Drosophila melanogaster: one gene and its partners. The protein of the gene in region 4 purifies or fractionates together with the protein of the main gene of each other region. This does not show direct contact. Each region holds a gene or a part of one and is shown on either strand. Other genes may lie near its edges. The genes, in order: ATPsynF, ATPsynD, ATPsyndelta and sun.

Region 1 (2,807 bases), on a different chromosome or scaffold from region 4:
ACTCAGCCTAGTGCCTACTTGAATGCCTCACTGACCTGTTCAAACTCCTCGGAGTTCACTGGTAGTCTGGCCCACATCGCATCCGAACACAGAACCAGTTTATTGGCCCAATGGCTAGTGGAATTCAACAGGAAATCACAGTCTCTGGCAGAAGGTAATGTCTATCTGGCCTATGTGGGTTTGGCCTACAACAGCTCAACGTCATTGAGCCCACTGGACTTCAGGAACTCCCAAGGGGAGAGCTTGCAGTGCTTTCTTTACAGAGCCTGGGATGGTGGTCATCCTCGAGTTGGGTAGGCTGACAGTTTATTAGGTTAGCCGCCAATGCTATCTTCTCTAAATCTAACCGAATTTGCAGTGGTGATCTGGGCAACGCCAGCTGCGTGGCCTTGACGCCGCAGGGAACCTGGCAAACCCTGAACTGCGACCGGGAGCTGCCCTTTATCTGCGAAATCCACACGGCCCGGTCAACTTTCGGCTGGGAGCAGTCCAGTTCCGAGCTGGACATCGGCCCAAATGCAGTCTTCGAGTGCGGAAGAGACCGAGTCTGAGTCTATGGCAGCATGGATATTCGCAGCCGTTTTATTCACTTAAGCAGTTTTCAAAACACAAAAGCCAAATAGATATAGTTTAGTGGTGATTGCCCGCCTCTCGCACGCCTTGTGGAAAGTGTAGAATCTGTTGCAGATGCAGGACCACCGGGCAGCGCCGCTTAGTGGTACTTGTAGTTCCTGTGGTGCTTCAACTTGGTGTAGTTAATCAGATAGAAGAACGTCATGCTGGCGACGGTCAGCTGGAAGAAGGGAGCGATCCCGGCGCGCTTTGGGAACACGTACTTGTGCTGCCAGCGCCACCAGGCACGGCTCACAGCTCCGGCCACAGCGTTGGGGGTCTTGTTGCGGCGTCCCAGCCAGGCGCCGATCTCGCCCAGCTTGACCTGGCCGAAGGGCACATCGGCTGCGGATCGGAGAGAGCGGAGAGGTCGGAAAGTTGTTTAAATTATGTAAAACGCTGCACATTTTTGGGCAGTGCAAATGTGCTCTGTGCCTGCCGCAAAAATTACGTAACCTGCTCACCTTTGCCGTAGAAGCGAGCGGGGTCGTAGGGCCCGTGCACCTTGGGGTTGTACTCAGCTGGATAGTCACCGAATGCCATCGCGCTGGTTTGGTTGAGATATATTCTTAAATCGGATTCTTATGAAACATAAAATTACGCCTGCTACTTACTTCCTTCGATACTGACAGTATGACCAAAGCGGCGAGAGCTGGGATTTTCATCGACCAATATACCGAAATATACTATGTGCGAATTTATTGTGTGCGTCTCCGCTAACAGGGAGGATGTATTCGCTACGTCATCGATACAGCGAATATATCGATGCCCGATGCACGATGCACTTCTCACATCACTAAGCTCCAGTATATACAGAAATCAAATAGGATTTTTGCAAGCCTGGGCATTCGAATCAGAATCCAGCCAAAGCGAATCCAGTGTGTAAACAAAAACAATGAAACTGGAGGAGTTGCTGACCAAGGGAGCCTCCTCTCCGCCGGAGGACGACGACGAGGACGAGAAGGTGGAGCTGAAGCCGCAGAAGTCAAGCAGCGCCACCGCGGACGAGGGGGCGGAGAACGCGGAGGATGCGGCCGAGGATGCTGGCGAGAAGGAAGGCGCGGGTGGCAAGAAGAAGGGCACGCGCAAGAAACGCTCCCTTAACTGGGAGGAGGCGGAAAGGGGGCTGCTCCTTGAGGTCATCAAGTCCAAGGTGGCCTTCGTGGAGAACCGGAGCGTGGACGCCAAGAGCATAAAGGCCAAGCGTCTGGCCTGGTCGCAGATCACCAAGCAGTAAGTTGCGCCATTGGGCAGTGGAGCTCGTCTTATAATGGCCCTTCACTCCTTCCATTCCAACCCCCCATCCAGGTTCAATGCCCTTAACTTCCGCCATCGCCTGCTGGAGCAGATCCAGGTGCAGTGGCGCAGCATGAAGAACTCCGCCAAGCGGGAGCACCAGCAGAAGCATCCGAAAACGGAGGCCCTGGAAGGCATGCGGATGATCGAGTTCCTGGAGGAGATGCAGAAGGATCCGGTCACCTCGCGCAGTCAGACACGCAGCGCGAACACAAACGGCGCTCTTAAGAAGGAGCTCATGGACATCGACGAGGACGAAGACATGCCGCTGGCCGCTCTGCCCAACTCTACGAACGCCAGCGAGGACACGCTGCAGACCTCCACAATAGCCATCCCCTCGCCGCCGCCCTCCACTGCTGGCGGAGACGGGGACTCCCAGCAGGAGGGAAATCCCGCCCAGCTGCCAGCCCAGCGACGCAAGCGGACCAAGGCCAAGCAGTCGCCCTCGGGCGCCAAGACAGAAACGTCCGGCGAAACGGGGGAGGAGAACGAAAAGGGCGTAGGCCCACCACGAAAGCGGCGACAAAGGAATGTGAGTTTGAACACAAGCCGCAAGTTTATTTATTATTATTAATTAAGGTTTAGCTGAACAAGTTGCAAATTTTTGTGAAGGGGAATCTTAATCTTTCTTACTAATAATACTATCTCATCGTTAACCAGCTCTCACAGGCCCAGTCGCTGCTGTCCGACGAGAACGAAGCCTCCACCAACGCAGCTCCGAGCGCCACCCCAGTTGCAGACACAAATAGCCAGTCCTTAGATTTGGTCGCCGCCACGGAGATAGAGCAGAAGTACAAGCAGGACCTGTTTAGGCTGCTCAAGCAGGCCCGTCTGGCCGAAATCGACTACGCCCGGCGGGAACACGAGCAGAAGCTGCGCTTCGAGCAGATGGAGCAGGA
Region 2 (3,520 bases), on a different chromosome or scaffold from region 4:
AAACGAGATTTGAGCGGCGACTGAAGCTTTTAACGGCTTTCGGAGAGCCAAACAAGATGGCACTGCTTGAATTCTCTCAAAATAAATGCTAGCAGTGCTCAGTCTTTCAACCAATAAACATTTGAAAAATATACTAAGGCGATCGGGAAAATCCAGTTAGAATATACTGCCTGTAGTGCGGACACAAACCAAGGTAGAGGTTTAAAAGTATTAAAATCCAGCGGTGTGGCAATAAGGAGCAGGAATTCCCACTTACTGTGCCGCCTCTAACTCATCGACGCTAATTTGACGCACATTAAATTTCAATATAAAGTACTTTCGGAATTATTAAATTTTTTAGAAATCAGGAAGTGCTTTTCATTCCCAGAAACCGACATCTCTGGGAATTTATTTGCCACCGCCCACAAGAGGGAGCTTTAGTTTCATTTAGCAAGTACAACATCCGCATTTAGCGGAGTCTAGCACCACCATTGGTGCCGATTAGTAATTTTAATTTTTGTTTAAGTTTAAGTTTGAATTGTAGCCAATTTGCTTATTTATTTATTTGTGCATTTGATTTTTATCTATTAGCTTATAAAACTGCAAGGACCGGCTATCATTTCCAGTGCATTGGGCTGTCAAATTGATTGTTTTCTCAATTTATTTCATTATTTTGATTTAAGGATCCCATTTTCTTTATGCATATCCATCCAACAAGATGTCACATAGACAACAAATGCAAATTAGATACCGTAACTGTCATTTGAAATGAATTTAATTTGGGTAATTTACTTCAACGCGGATTACATTTCGAATCGAACAGACGACCAACGAAGCCAGTGTCAGAGTGCTCCTCGTGCGCTCCGGTTTAGTGGTGTCCCTGGGCTTCGGCCTCCAGCTGCTCCTTGGACTTGTAGCCGACCTGCTCCTCGGGAGTGTGGGGCCAGAAGGTGGGCTTGTTGAGGGGATCGAGTGCGCTATCGGGGAATGCGTCGCGGTAGTCCTCCATGGTCATCTGGTCGTAGGGCAGCAGAGACTTGAGATGGGCGATCTCCTTTTGGTAGTTCTGAATGCGCTGCTCCGAGGCCTTCTTGTAGGCATCGATTTCGCTCTGCGACGCCTTGATCTCGGCATCCACCTGGGACGACACCTTGTCCTGGGGATAGGGCACCTTCAGGGCTTCGTACTGCTTCTGGAAGCTATCGACGAGTCCGGCCACTGGCACAAGCTTCTTGTAGTTGGCCCAATCGATCTGGGGTGGGCACTCGGGATTGGCCAGCACGGCGCGCACATAGATGTCCGACTTGGTCTTGAAGGCGCCGAAGCTGCTCTTCTGGTTGGCGGGCACGCGCTCGGCGAGAGCGGACCAGTTGATCGAGGATTGGGCGATACGGCGGGCGGCCATTCTGCACAGATACTGCAAGACAACAACAAAAGCGGGGATGAGGTTAGGTTTTTGGGTTTATAGAGGTGGTAAGTGATTTCTAGGTGTCCTGGAACTGTGCAGCGATATTCTTATTAGTTGAAATGTAATCTCTGCTTCTTTAGTTGCAGACTTATCGACATAATGCACGGCGAGTTATGCTCGCAAAAATTATGTAATTTTTTTCAATCCTCAATGTTCCTTCAAACTAAAAACGCGTTTGCAGTCCTTTCCTCGAGGCTTGCAGACTAATCGCTGTTGTAGCCCAACCGTGCGCTTTTTTTTTATTATTTTTGCAGTGTTTAACGTAACGTACTTATATTTTCAAGGAGAAAAATAAGAATTTCTGCCTCTGCAACCAACACTTACACTTTGAGTACGAATGTGACCAGAGCTGGGGAAAATACCACATAATGTGGAAACTGAACCAGGGCTACCACAGATTCTTAATAACTAATTTAGGAGTCTTTAAATCTTACCCTCGGGTCGGTCACACTATCAGCTGCCTGGCAGCAAAAACACGATTTAAGTGTAGCTCTTATTTAGTGTAAATATTGTGATTATCAATTAAAATGTTGCTGAAACAGTTGCCCCAGGCTGTTCAGCAGATACGCTGCATCTCATCGGCCACGACGGCGGTTACCAGGCTGCATCGCTCGGTTTACTGCCGGCTATATCCCACAGTTGTGGTGCAACCCGATGGATCCACGATAAACATCCGCTATCACGAGCCCAGGAAGATTATCAAGGTAACGTTAGTTACTATAACTTAACGAAACCATAATTAACGAGTACCATCTACTAGCTTCCCTTGGATCTGAGCACCTTAACCGATGCGGAGCGCAGAGCGAGATTGGAGGCCCGCAAGCCGCGCAAGAAGGTCAAGATCATGGAGGAGGTGGAGGACAACTTCAACGCCAAGAAGTACATGAAGTACATCAAAAAGAAGTAGCCGCATTTTATTCACTATTTGTTAAATAAAACACGAAAGCCCGTTATATAATTGTTTTAAATTAGAATTAAGAAATTGTGCTCGTTATCGATAGTGTATATCGCACATCTGGTATTTTTGTTATCGGTTTCAGCATGGGCCCTCCACTTTTTTCCACCATCCCACAACGGTCACTCTAATCGAGTCGGAAAACAAAGTCGGACGTCTAGCTGCGCGTCGCTCCCGAAGAACTGTTAATTTGTGGACGCTTTTTCGCGAGTGCAGACATAAATGAAAGCAACATATCTTTAGCTCCATTCCAGACTGGATCATAGGCTATAGCCCGTTAGAGCAGTGCCAGTGAATCGGTTACCGAATTATAATCTCGCTCTGCGTCGGCTGAGTGGTAATGTTGAATGGACAGTCGCGTCTAACAAAAAAAAAAAAAAACAAGTACACACAACCAACGACGAATGCACATAAACAAGACGAGACAGCAAACGCAGAATCGAGTGAAAACCTATTTTAAAACACCAGAGCTATATTTATTTTGTTGACGCTCAGGATTTTCGGTCCTCGCATTTGTGATGTCTGCGGGTGCGTGTGAGTGCGCGAGTGCGAATGTGTTGGTTGCATATCACGGCGGATGCGAATAACTGCAATTGCAATAGAGAGCAGACACATACACACAAACACAAGCATAATTGGATTATGGCCACACGGCAATAAGAACGGAGGGAGAGAGAGAGAGCAGTCGCCAAAACCAAACGGGTAAATAAATAGTATTAGCAGAAATCGGTTAAAAGCCAGAATTAAATGGATTAGACCTGTGCTATCGTTGGCATTTCCCCATCGCTGTGTGCGTGCGTGTCTGTGTGCGGAAGCAACCTAGAGATGGGCCTGACCTTAGCTTTCGCACACTGCCTGCCAAAAGTTGCCACCCGCTGCTTTCGCTGCATCTTGACACAACATGGTTTTCAAGGTTCTACCGAGATAAAAACACAAATATAATTTCGTAACGGGAAATGCAAAATTGTCATGTACTATTGTATATTTAAACATTTAGAATTGAGGGTAAATAGGTTTGCAATCTTATATTTTAACTTACGTTGATTGTATTTTGTCTTAAATATAATAAAACATAATGCGTAAATAATGTGTCTATTTATACTTCGTAAATGCTAAAT
Region 3 (6,771 bases), 5.6 Mb from region 4:
TGAAGATTTGAGCCAAACTTGTTTCGAGATTGCAGATGCACTAATATAGATATTTATGTATGTATGTATGTAGTTTCTCAACAGATGCATTCCATGCATGGATCAATTAACAAACCATAATAGACCGCGACAAGATCATAATCACGATTAGTGGCAGAGTGCAGGTTAGCCAACCATTTCTTGGATATTACTTGATTTCCCACCAATCTGATCTGCCCACTGAAAATCTCTTTTTTTTTTGGTATAAATTAATACGTTTCTTAACCGAAAAGCATAACCAATTTGAACAATTTGATAGTATTTTATAAAATTGTTATAAACTGAGTAGAAATATGATTCTAAATGGATATATATATATATGCACATCAGTTGATTATGTTGAATATTTGTGTAAATAAACATATGTTTATTGTTGTAAGTATGTAATACTTAGTGGCTATTTAAAATGCGCCAACAGATATCACTGATCCGAACCGTTGGCCAATTTTACAACATCTTTGGCCTATTGGGCCAACATAATGCGTTTTACATGGCTCGAAGATGCGACTGGTGGCTTGCATAATAATCGGCTCGTTTTATAAATACCTGCATATAGATGGAATATAGCCACCATCAATGAGATGGTTCGGCTTGACAACAGATTCCGATTCAGATTCACCTTGAAATTGCCGGATGAGGTGAAATGGAATGGGTTGGTTTGGTTTCGATTGGATTGGATTGGGTTGGGTTGGGTTAGGTTTTCGCTTTGGTTTATGACAGACTGCCGGCCGCCTTGTGAGGCAACCGCTTTGCAGCACGCCCGTGTATGCAAATTGAATTGACCAAAATCCAAAATCCAAATCGAAATCAAAATCAAAATGAAAACGAAAACCTAAACCATAAAACATAAGATGCCGAATAAAAAAAAAAATACGAAATATGAAAGCCCCATTCCGAGCTTATCACTAACGTAGCGTCTCATTTTCATGCTAATTGTGGGATCCCCATTCGGAATTTGGGAAATGCAGCGTAAGACTTGATGAAACTGAAACTGGTAGCTGGTAGCTGGTAGCTGGTAGCTGGTAGCTGGTAGCTGGTAGCTCCGAATCCAACTGGCTATGGAAGAACCAACCACGACGATTGGCACTTTTGGGTGCGTCCAGCAGCATTTGGTGAAAATCGAAATGAAAACGAAAGCCCATCATCATGATGCTGCTCATCATCGTGGCGATGATGATGATGGCGTTGATGGGCAGTTTGGAAATGTTAATGAAACGCCTTTTGTTCGCCCTTGCTGGCTTATATCGTATAAAAGACTTGGTCTCCAATCGATCGGACATCAGTCGCTTGCTCATCGGCACTCAAGGCGTTTTTTTTTTTTTGGAATTGGTATCATCGCATCAAGTGGATTAGTAGTCAGCATGAAGGTGAGCTGCTCACAATGTCCTGTGCCGGCAAATATCCTCTTCTAGTTTTTTTTTTTTTATTTATCCAAACTGATTTGAAAAGTGACAAAGTGGCAAGAGCATCCTGAGCTCAGTTTAAATTCTTTCGAACTTTCGAAGAAGTGATAGTTAATATTCAAATACAAAGTGTGCTGAAGAATATCAGAAGATTGAAAATGAAAATATTTAAACAAAGAATGAATACAAAGTATATCCATTTGGAAAATACAGTCTATGAAGATCAAAGATCCTTTAAAGATATAGAAAAAAAAACCAGCGATAAAACTCTACTTTCTAATTGGAAAACATAACAAAAACTTAATGAACTTTATATATTCTTTAAAATCCTCTAAGGATGCAACATGAAACATGAAACTAAATCGCTTCTTATACTCTGCCATCCTTCCAGGTCTTCGTTTGCATGTGTGCTCTGTTCGCTGTGGCCAACGCTGGCTTCCTGGGACTCCTCGGCGGTGGCGGCGGTGGAGGCGGTGGTGGCGGCCTTAACCTCGGAGGCGGTGGTGGCAACGGAGGCGGCGGCGGTGGTAGTGGCGCTCGCGGCTATGGCGGCCATGGACCCAGTGGCCCAGTCCAGGTGGTCAAGGTGATCCATCAGCAGGGCGGCGTTGGCTACTCCTCCGGCGCTAGCTATGGCAGCGGCTATGGCTACGAGGCGGCTCCCCAGATCTTCAAGGTGAAGGTCATCTCTGGCGGCAGCGGCGGTGGCTATGGACCCGCTCCTGGACCCGCTTATCTGCCTCCAGCTGGGCCCGCCCCCTCCTCCGTCAAGGTGATCAAGATCCTGCAGGAATCCGCACCCATTGTGAGTGCCCCGCTGGTCGAGAGCGCTCCGCAGATTGTCAAGGTGGTGAATGTGGCATCTGGACCCGTGGCTGGACCATCCTTCATCGGCGGCTCTTCGGTTGGCGGCGGTGCCGTGTCCCAGGTCATCAAGGTCGTTCACGAGAGCCACGACAGCGGCATCTCGTCGGGTGGCTACTCGTCGGGTGGCTACTCCTCCGGTGGTTACTCTTCGGGTGGAGCCACCAAGGTGGTGCGTGTGATCCATGAGCACTCCGCTCCAGCTGCCGGTCCAGCCTATGCCCCCATCGATGTGCCCGCACCAGTGGCTGCTCCAGTCGCTTCCTACCTGCCTCCTCAGGAGATCGCTGCTCCGGCTCCAGTTTATGCTGCTCCAGCTCCGGCTCCAGTTTATGCTGCTCCTGCTCCCGCTCCTGTGTACTCCGCACCTGCTCCCGCTCCAGTGTACTCCGCTCCTGCCCCAGCTCCTGTGTACTCTGCTCCTGCTCCCGCTCCAGTGTACTCCGCACCTGCTCCCGCTCCAGCTTACTCCGCTCCTGCTCCCGCTCCAGTTTACTCCGCTCCTGCCCCAGCTCCAGTCTATGCCGCCCCAGCACCCGCTCCCGTCCTGAGTGTGCCACATCCCGCTCCTGCACCCGTTTTTGCTCCCGAGGAGCAGTCCCTGCCCATCGGTCACGCCCCTGCCCAGACCTACGGCCCACCGGGATACTAGAACAATTCGCCAATCTATCGGAGGACCTTCCTGCTAACTACATCGACAGCATATTACCATTCCCACACAACGCCATGAGTTAATTTAAGACATTTTTTTTACAACACATTTTTTTGTTACCAAATACATAGACAATTCCAAAAAAAAAAAATCCAATTTTCTTTTTTCAATTCTATAGTATTTATCATCTTTATAAAGAGTTTCAAAATGGATTATCTTCTATCTGCCAAAAGTATAATTTTAGCCATTGATTAATTCTTGTTTCCATAAAAAAAAAACAAAGTTGCTTTTTATTACTACTTTTGAGAGAAATTTAAACAATCATCCGAGATAAGATATGCGAACTATCCATGAATGCAACACACCAGATGAAATACAAACTATACTATTTGTTAAGATGAAAGACGAGCTCATTTACAAATTGTAAGTTTTTATGCTTATGCGATTTGCATAAATTGGCAAGGGAAAAAGAAACGACGTTCGTCTCTTTCGGCCAAAATGCAAATCACTCATATTTTTGACTTAAAGATTGCCAAAGCATTATCATATCAACGGTCTATCCCACAGCGAGCAAATATTACACATTTCTCTTCACCAGCTCACATACATATATTATAAACTATATAAACACACAGTTTAGCGGCATAACATGAAAAAAAAAAGAAAAAAAAATCATTTGCCTGGTGGATCACGGGTCATTAATACGATATTATGATTCGCTTTTTTATTGTTTCATAACTCTCTGGCTTTTTAAGGTGATCGTTATGTTTTTTATTTATTTCAGACACAAAGCATCGATTGTGGTTTATTGGTGGCGGTTGTGTGGTGATTACGTCTATTCGGCAGCCTTGACTAACGCTTCGGCGACCTCCACGGCAATGGCAGCCTGGGCCTTGGCCTGCAAAACAAGGATCGTGGTTAAGTCTCGTTTAGATAGCTTCAGAATGTGCAATACAGAATGCAAAAGCAACTCAAACATAAGTTTACTCATGGAAATATCGAATGTGTAAGCGTTAATTTAAGAGCAAACTTGTTTGTACAAAGAAAGTATATCAAGTAAAAAGGATGGGCACATAGAAATCGTTTAGTAACTTAAATGCCAGTTGGCGTGAATGGTGGAAGCAGTGTTTCCATCAAAAGAGTCTGTTTGAGTTGTACTTTCTGGACCACTACTTCTACTTTCTAGACACTACTCTACTATGCAACTTCTTGACTAGATTCGCACCTTGTCGTCGCCAGCGGAGCTAAGCTGTGACTGGTATTTCGCGAGCAGCTGGCGCGCCTCATTGGCATCGATGTCCTCGATGTTGTGGGCCTCCTCGGCCAGAACCTGAACGGAGGAATCCTCGTTGACGGTGACGGAACCGCTGGAGACGAAGAACTTGAGGGTCTTGCCATCGTTTTCCACCACCTGGACAACGCCGGGCTTCAGGACAGCTGCAATAGCAAAGAGATTCGCCAACGGTGATATAACCATCTCGAGGCAACTGAAACTGAATGATCGAACTTACCCAGAGTGGGCACGTGCTTGGCCAGGATGCCGAAGGATCCCGAGAAGGAAGGCACATCGATTTGGCGCACCACAGCGGCATCGTAGAAGGTTTTGTTGGCGGCGGCGAAGGTCAGCTTCATCTCATCCGAGTAGCTGCGGTTCTGGGCCAAGCGAGCGCCGCGGGCGGCCAGCAAACGGGCGTTCTTAACGAAGGACATTTTGGGCTGCAACGAGAGGATAAATTCAGGATTAAAAGTCTTTTCTGCCACAGCCAGCCAGCATAACAACAAAATAACCAAATTATGTAACTTTGTAGGTTAGGCGGCGGCTGCTATTGCGTTTCCCCAGCTCAAATTTCGATCGCTTTTCATTGCAAATCCTCGGGCACTGTGATCAGTGGACTACCCCTCAATTTATCAGTTATTTTCACCTGTTTTTATTTCGGTTTGATAGCGAAAAACACGAGAAAACTTCAGTGATCAGCCGCTGTTTTTGCGAAAAACGTTTAAGTCAGAGTGACCAGCCGGGAATACAAAACTTATCTAGCAATAACGCGTTTTTACGATATTTAGAGGACAAGACAAAATACAAAATTTTCAATACGCAACAGGCTCTTACAAAATAAAAAGTGCAATCATTTCACACATAATAATTAAGTGTTTTAATTATAATAATAAAGTGCCTCAATCAATAAACAAATTATATAGACCAATAAACTTTTAGTGGCAACACTTATTCTTTTAATTCATTAGTCTGGCATCGCCAATTAAAAGCTTAAATTTTTTGTATATTGCTTTTGATCGTACATTAAAAATGATATTAAAAGAAAAACTATTTATTCCAAAAATTATAATTTAAAAAATGAAATTTCCTTTATTAGATTAAGACTTTGATTAATAACGGTGTGTTTACATGGCATAACCATGCGACCATTTATACTGTTATGAATCTGGTGTTTTTGATTTTGTTTAGTTTCTTTTTCAGTATTTCCTTTTTTATTAGATCCTTTTATTAAAGTTCGGAGTTTTTTCGTATCTCACGAATCTTTTACCCGCGCAACATTCAAAACTGGCGTTAGCGACTATTTTTAGCCACCGCGCTACCTGGTCACACTGGCACAGGCAGCACAACAACAAATTCCAATTGGAAATAGAAACGAAACAATGCAGATTGCTGCATTATTATACAAGTGAAGAAGAAGAGAGTGCCATTTTCGGCTGCTATTTGTGCACGTCTCTGTGACTGTGTGTGAGTGTGTGCGTGTCGCGTGTGTGCTCTGCGCTGAGGTGTTTGTTGGCGAACGACAGCGAAAGGCGACAAGCAAACAAACAAACAAACAAAACACACAGGACGTAAGTGCTTGCAACATTTACCCAAGTTTGTCACCCACTCGCGCCCTCTCTGTCGCACCTGCAGGCGAAACGCAGTTGCGAAAAACAACAGTGTTTCCCCATGTTTGTGTTTGTGTGCATAGATAGCTGTCTATATATTTTTCGCTCTGCTTATTTTCTATTTTGTTTTGTTATATCTTCTATTTTGCTTGGCTCTTCGTGTATGTGTATAGGTGTCTTAGCAAATTGCGCCTTTCAGTTGGAAAAACTCTGCAAAAAATAGAAACAGAAAGCTTGCCTTAAAGTTCATTCCTCACACACACAGCTGACTTTGTTGTGGAAAAAGGGTGTGAAGAAGAGAAGGATTTTCTGCTTTTTGTTTGTTGCACACATACAGGCCCGCATACACATGTGAACGAGCAGCTGTAGCGCGCATGTGTATGTGTTTGTGTATTTTTGTTTACCTCTCTCTCCGCCGTCACACTCTCACTCACTCTCTTCTCCGCTGTCTTGCCCTCTGCCTGCGTCGCGGTCGCCAGTGGCGTCGCAACGCAATATATTTCATGTTATTTCTGATAAGAGAACTAACCGCAATCGGTCTATATAAACATATATACAACAGATCCGATCCTTAGCTATTGACCCCAAGCTATAGCGGTGCGAGCGGAACGGCAACATCGCAAAGAAGCAGCGGCATAAGACAACAACAATGTTGGGTCGTTGCTCCTCTTTTTGCTTCTTCGCTTTCATCTTCTGCTCCTTTTGTTTTTTGTTACGGTACTTTTAGATACTTCGAAAAGTGTATACCCTTCGTACTATCTGATTCAGGCAAAATTATATGTAGGTTTTCTTGTCATCCGATCTTTATGATTAGTTGTCAATCTCAACTAATTAAGAATAAAACAAATAATTAAAAACCCATAATAATTCTCAAAAGTAATGTTCAGCTTAGTGAAGTAAATGACATTCTACTTGCGTTTTAAAATTTGT
Region 4 (3,560 bases):
ATGGGAAATGCAATCTCGCCAACCATTGAAGGATCGCACCCGATGACATAGGAAACGCAAGTACACGACATCATCAACACACAAATCAACATGCTGCAATTGAAATAGCACTTCGGTAGCAATTTAATCGGTCTTAGTGGTAGCAAATCGATAATTTTTGAAGGATAATCCAAAATACTCTACCTTAAAAATATATATATATATATATTTAAATTAAAATATAAACTAACTGGATAATAATTAACATAAATAATGTCTATATGTGTATATTTAAAGCGCAAAATATAAGTAACAATTCAATTGGTTCAGCATTATGTGTATAAAATCATTCTATACAAATATGCGTTGACAAAATTATAGCAAGAAACCTATCACTGATCCCAATTAAAAGGCTTCTGGTGAACCTGACCAATAGTTCTTTTCAAAATTACAATATTCTATTGAGTCTATATTTAAATCTTTGCTAGAAGTCCGTTTCATCGGTCGCGATCTCTAAACGGAACGCCCAAATAAATGCCACATTTAAGAACAATTAAAATCATCGTGTTTAAATAAATTACATTTATTTAATTTTATTTATTTTTCATGATTTTACAACATTGCAGCTTCGGCGGATCTTAGTTGTTGCGAATCATTCTCGAGTGGCCACTGAAAAGCATCTAGGATTCCGATTGGGTTTGACGCTCTGCGGACAGAAAAATGGCAATAATCAGCATTTGCTTTGGATAATAGTTTTTCATCACAAAGAAATAGTTAATAGTTGGTCGCTTGTAAACTTTTGGGGCGGGCAATTTTGGGATATATATATGTATATTAATATAAACATTATATTATATGTAAACACATCGCATTTGCATGCAGATCAGCTTGTAAGCGTAGTTAGAAACTTTGGGAACAAAGTTAGATACATAAACTGTCGTTGAGTTTAATGCGAACGCTGGGATAATTTGGGTTTTGTCTGCCGCGGCAGGCACTTACGCCAGTTTTTAAATTATTAATTTGACGATGGAACACCTAAGCCCTTTCATCTGAAAAATATATTCAAATATGACGCAATATGAAACATAAATTCTATTACTTTATGGAGCGTTTGTCTTGAAGGAATGGTAAGCAATTTTGCCTAATTTTGTTTCGATATTCCAATAAGTTACGAAAATTTTGAAATTAAAGTTTTAGAAATGGTTTGGATGAGTATGAACGCTTCAATGTTGATGATCAGGATTTAAACAGATTGCAAATATATATGATATATGCAATAATATACGAATATCTATAGATGGGAACAGTTTTTACACGCGATATTACGCCTGTAAATTGGCAACATTTTCGGAGTAAAGTGGGAACACGAGTGAACCGTTCATTTTTCGGTATTTTTCACATTGCCATTTCGAAACGGGGCTTTTTTCCGAAACTTTTGGGTAGAATACCGTGTGGAAACCACTTGTGGATGACTTCGAAACATTCCTAATAACACATTGATAACGGTTTCCCCTTGGATTTCGAATTATCCGGAGTTAATTTATATAATGGCTGCTATTTGGCCGTCTAAAGTATTATGATACGTACGAGCTGGCTTGCCATTTGCCCAGGGAGTGAACTTCACATGGCTCGCGTCGCGCTTGGCGGCATCCGCACGCAGTCCCGTCTTCAAGGACTCGCGCAAAATGCGAGCGGCGATGTTGGAGTATTGGATGTAGCTGCAATCGGTAATATTTGGATTAATTATGTTATGTAATCGGGCAGCAAAGGCGTTTTTATTTGCATGAGAATGCTGCCACAACACAGCTGGTGTGGCAGGCACTTATACAATGCTTACGTAATTCCGGCAGCTCTCCAGGCAGTCATTGTGATCGGTTTATTCGAAATATATTCACGCTACACAAAAAATATATAAGATATTCCCTTTCTGAATCCGGTCAGTGTGGCCAACTAGTTTTTGAGAGTTAAGTCAGAAATATACCGTCGATTGTCGCACATATACCTTAAATACTAGCTTACGCGCGTCAAGATAGCGACGACGACTGTGACTTCTGTTATTGAACATACACACTGTTAGTAACATTTGTTATCGATATCCAAACTCAAACTTTTCAATATTTAAAAATCTAATTTACTTATTTTTCTTCCTTTGGGAAAAACCCTAATAAATATGGATATGCCAAACTGTTTTATTCGAAAGAACGAAGCTTGTTACTTATTCATGCCTACACAAATAATTAAGCAGACATTGTTTAACGTGCCTTGCATAAAGCATTTCAAGAAAAATTGTTACATTAAACCATCAACTTAAAAAAAATATTCCCCAATTTTCCTTGAAATTTGTTTTTAGTTCTAGGCTAATTAATCAAATAACCACCAATGCACCCAAAATAGGATAAGCTAAGGATATATTAGATTATTTATTTATCATTGACTTTAAGTTAGACTTTACAGATAATATTTTAAAACTTAACAGAAGAAAACACTTAAGTTCTAATTAAATGTGTATATATACAGAACAAAAATTTCTTTAATATTCTTTAACGCATTAAAGAATCGATCTGACAAGTAATTGCTGATTTTATTTAGTTTTTCGGTAGACGCACACTTAAAAGCAGAACGCAATGGGAAAATTACTTATTCTTGCACATAATTAGTTTTCAATATTTTCGACATATTTGAAATAAGTGTTGTAATTACCCATTCTCTAATTAGGTTAACAAGTCCGGTTTCTAAAAGCAATTAGCATTGTATTCGTATATTACATGTTATAAATATGCAGTCTAGCAACTTTAATACAGAGTATACGCATTTTGCACATGCTCATGAATTCCTGTGTGGTATATATATAAAATATATATTGTATGTACATTAATAGTTGAAACAAAGCGCCTTGTTGATCCAGACATACATTATTATAGTTTAATAAATATACTTCTGACTGCACAAAAATGTAATTTATACATTCATATTTGTTTTTATTTCGGTTGTGGGTGTTTTTTTTTTTTTCTTTTTTCTTTTAATGCAAATTAGTTTAAATATTACGCTATTATATAATAATTTAGTTACAAAATAGAGCAATTTGTCGAACAGCATCGTCCAGAACCGCCTTTACTATTTTGTCTTTGATCTAAAAGAGGAGGAAAATTCAGTAAGATGTTTTTCGTATGCATTGCGAATTTAAATTTGAGCAGCTCTTTATAATTGAAACCATATTTCTTTTTTTTTTTTTTTTTTGAAAACCTACCTTGTGAATTGGGCTCTGGCAAATTATCACGTGGCACTAAATGCATAACAGTCGTTTTGCCTAATGGAAGTCCCAGTGCTCCTAAGGTTACATTGCAATGAAGAAAACGACCTTGATAAATTAAGCGCAAGATTTCGGCTTTCGACACAGTTTCGTGGGTCCAATCTGCAAGATATATGCACAATAATGTATTACATGGGTTTTCGCATCAAAAGTCTAACTCTAAAAGCAAAACAACTAAGAAAGAATTGATTTTAGAGGCCAACAAGCTGACAATATTTAAACAAACTTCAAAAGTCGCATTTATTTGAAATATCCAATAGATGCCATAAAT

Evidence for each region.
Region 1: the proteins of sun (region 4) and ATPsynF purify together in Drosophila melanogaster (affinity purification with mass spectrometry; 2 studies listed by BioGRID, with this or other methods). This does not show direct contact.
Region 2: the proteins of sun (region 4) and ATPsynD purify together in Drosophila melanogaster (affinity purification with mass spectrometry; 2 studies listed by BioGRID, with this or other methods). This does not show direct contact.
Region 3: the proteins of sun (region 4) and ATPsyndelta purify together in Drosophila melanogaster (affinity purification with mass spectrometry; 2 studies listed by BioGRID, with this or other methods). This does not show direct contact.

Annotation. Positions count from the first base shown.
Region 1 is NT_033778.4:24,598,541-24,601,347, forward strand, and holds ATPsynF (ATP synthase, subunit F), read right to left. Parts: upstream 1,282-2,807; 5' UTR 1,227-1,281; exon of another isoform or gene 1,160-1,226; 5' UTR 1,156-1,159; coding exon 1,077-1,155; intron 958-1,076; coding exon 713-957; 3' UTR 552-712; downstream 1-551. Other genes in the region: CG13587 (uncharacterized protein), read left to right, coding at 1-293, 359-551; CG3548 (uncharacterized protein), read left to right, coding at 1,508-1,845, 1,921-2,440, 2,569-2,807. UniProt on the Drosophila melanogaster protein: Mitochondrial membrane ATP synthase (F(1)F(0) ATP synthase or Complex V) produces ATP from ADP in the presence of a proton gradient across the membrane which is generated by electron transport complexes of the respiratory chain.
Region 2 is NT_033777.3:19,093,273-19,096,792, reverse strand, and holds ATPsynD (ATP synthase, subunit D), read right to left. Parts: upstream 1,794-3,520; 5' UTR 1,719-1,793; intron 1,397-1,718; 5' UTR 1,385-1,396; coding exon 848-1,384; 3' UTR 522-847; downstream 1-521. Other genes in the region: mRpL55 (mitochondrial ribosomal protein L55), read left to right, coding at 1,975-2,151, 2,208-2,354. UniProt on the Drosophila melanogaster protein: Mitochondrial membrane ATP synthase (F(1)F(0) ATP synthase or Complex V) produces ATP from ADP in the presence of a proton gradient across the membrane which is generated by electron transport complexes of the respiratory chain.
Region 3 is NC_004354.4:10,211,184-10,217,954, reverse strand, and holds ATPsyndelta (ATP synthase, delta subunit), read right to left. Parts: upstream 4,986-6,771; 5' UTR 4,881-4,985; intron 4,675-4,880; 5' UTR 4,669-4,674; coding exon 4,470-4,668; intron 4,396-4,469; coding exon 4,184-4,395; intron 3,857-4,183; coding exon 3,794-3,856; 3' UTR 2,959-3,793; coding exon of another isoform or gene 1,834-2,958; 3' UTR 1,407-1,833; coding exon of another isoform or gene 1,401-1,406; 3' UTR 562-1,400; downstream 1-561. Other genes in the region: CG2962 (uncharacterized protein), read left to right, coding at 1,401-1,406, 1,834-2,958.
Region 4 is NC_004354.4:15,847,320-15,850,879, forward strand, and holds sun (stunted), read right to left. Parts: upstream 1,940-3,560; 5' UTR 1,846-1,939; coding exon 1,817-1,845; intron 1,698-1,816; coding exon 1,567-1,697; intron 1,029-1,566; coding exon of another isoform or gene 1,015-1,028; exon of another isoform or gene 979-1,014; intron 686-978; coding exon 660-685; 3' UTR 540-659; downstream 1-539. Other genes in the region: UBL3 (ubiquitin like 3), read right to left, coding at 3,045-3,109, 3,227-3,391. UniProt on the Drosophila melanogaster protein: Activates the G-protein coupled receptor mth in vitro, leading to increased intracellular calcium ion levels.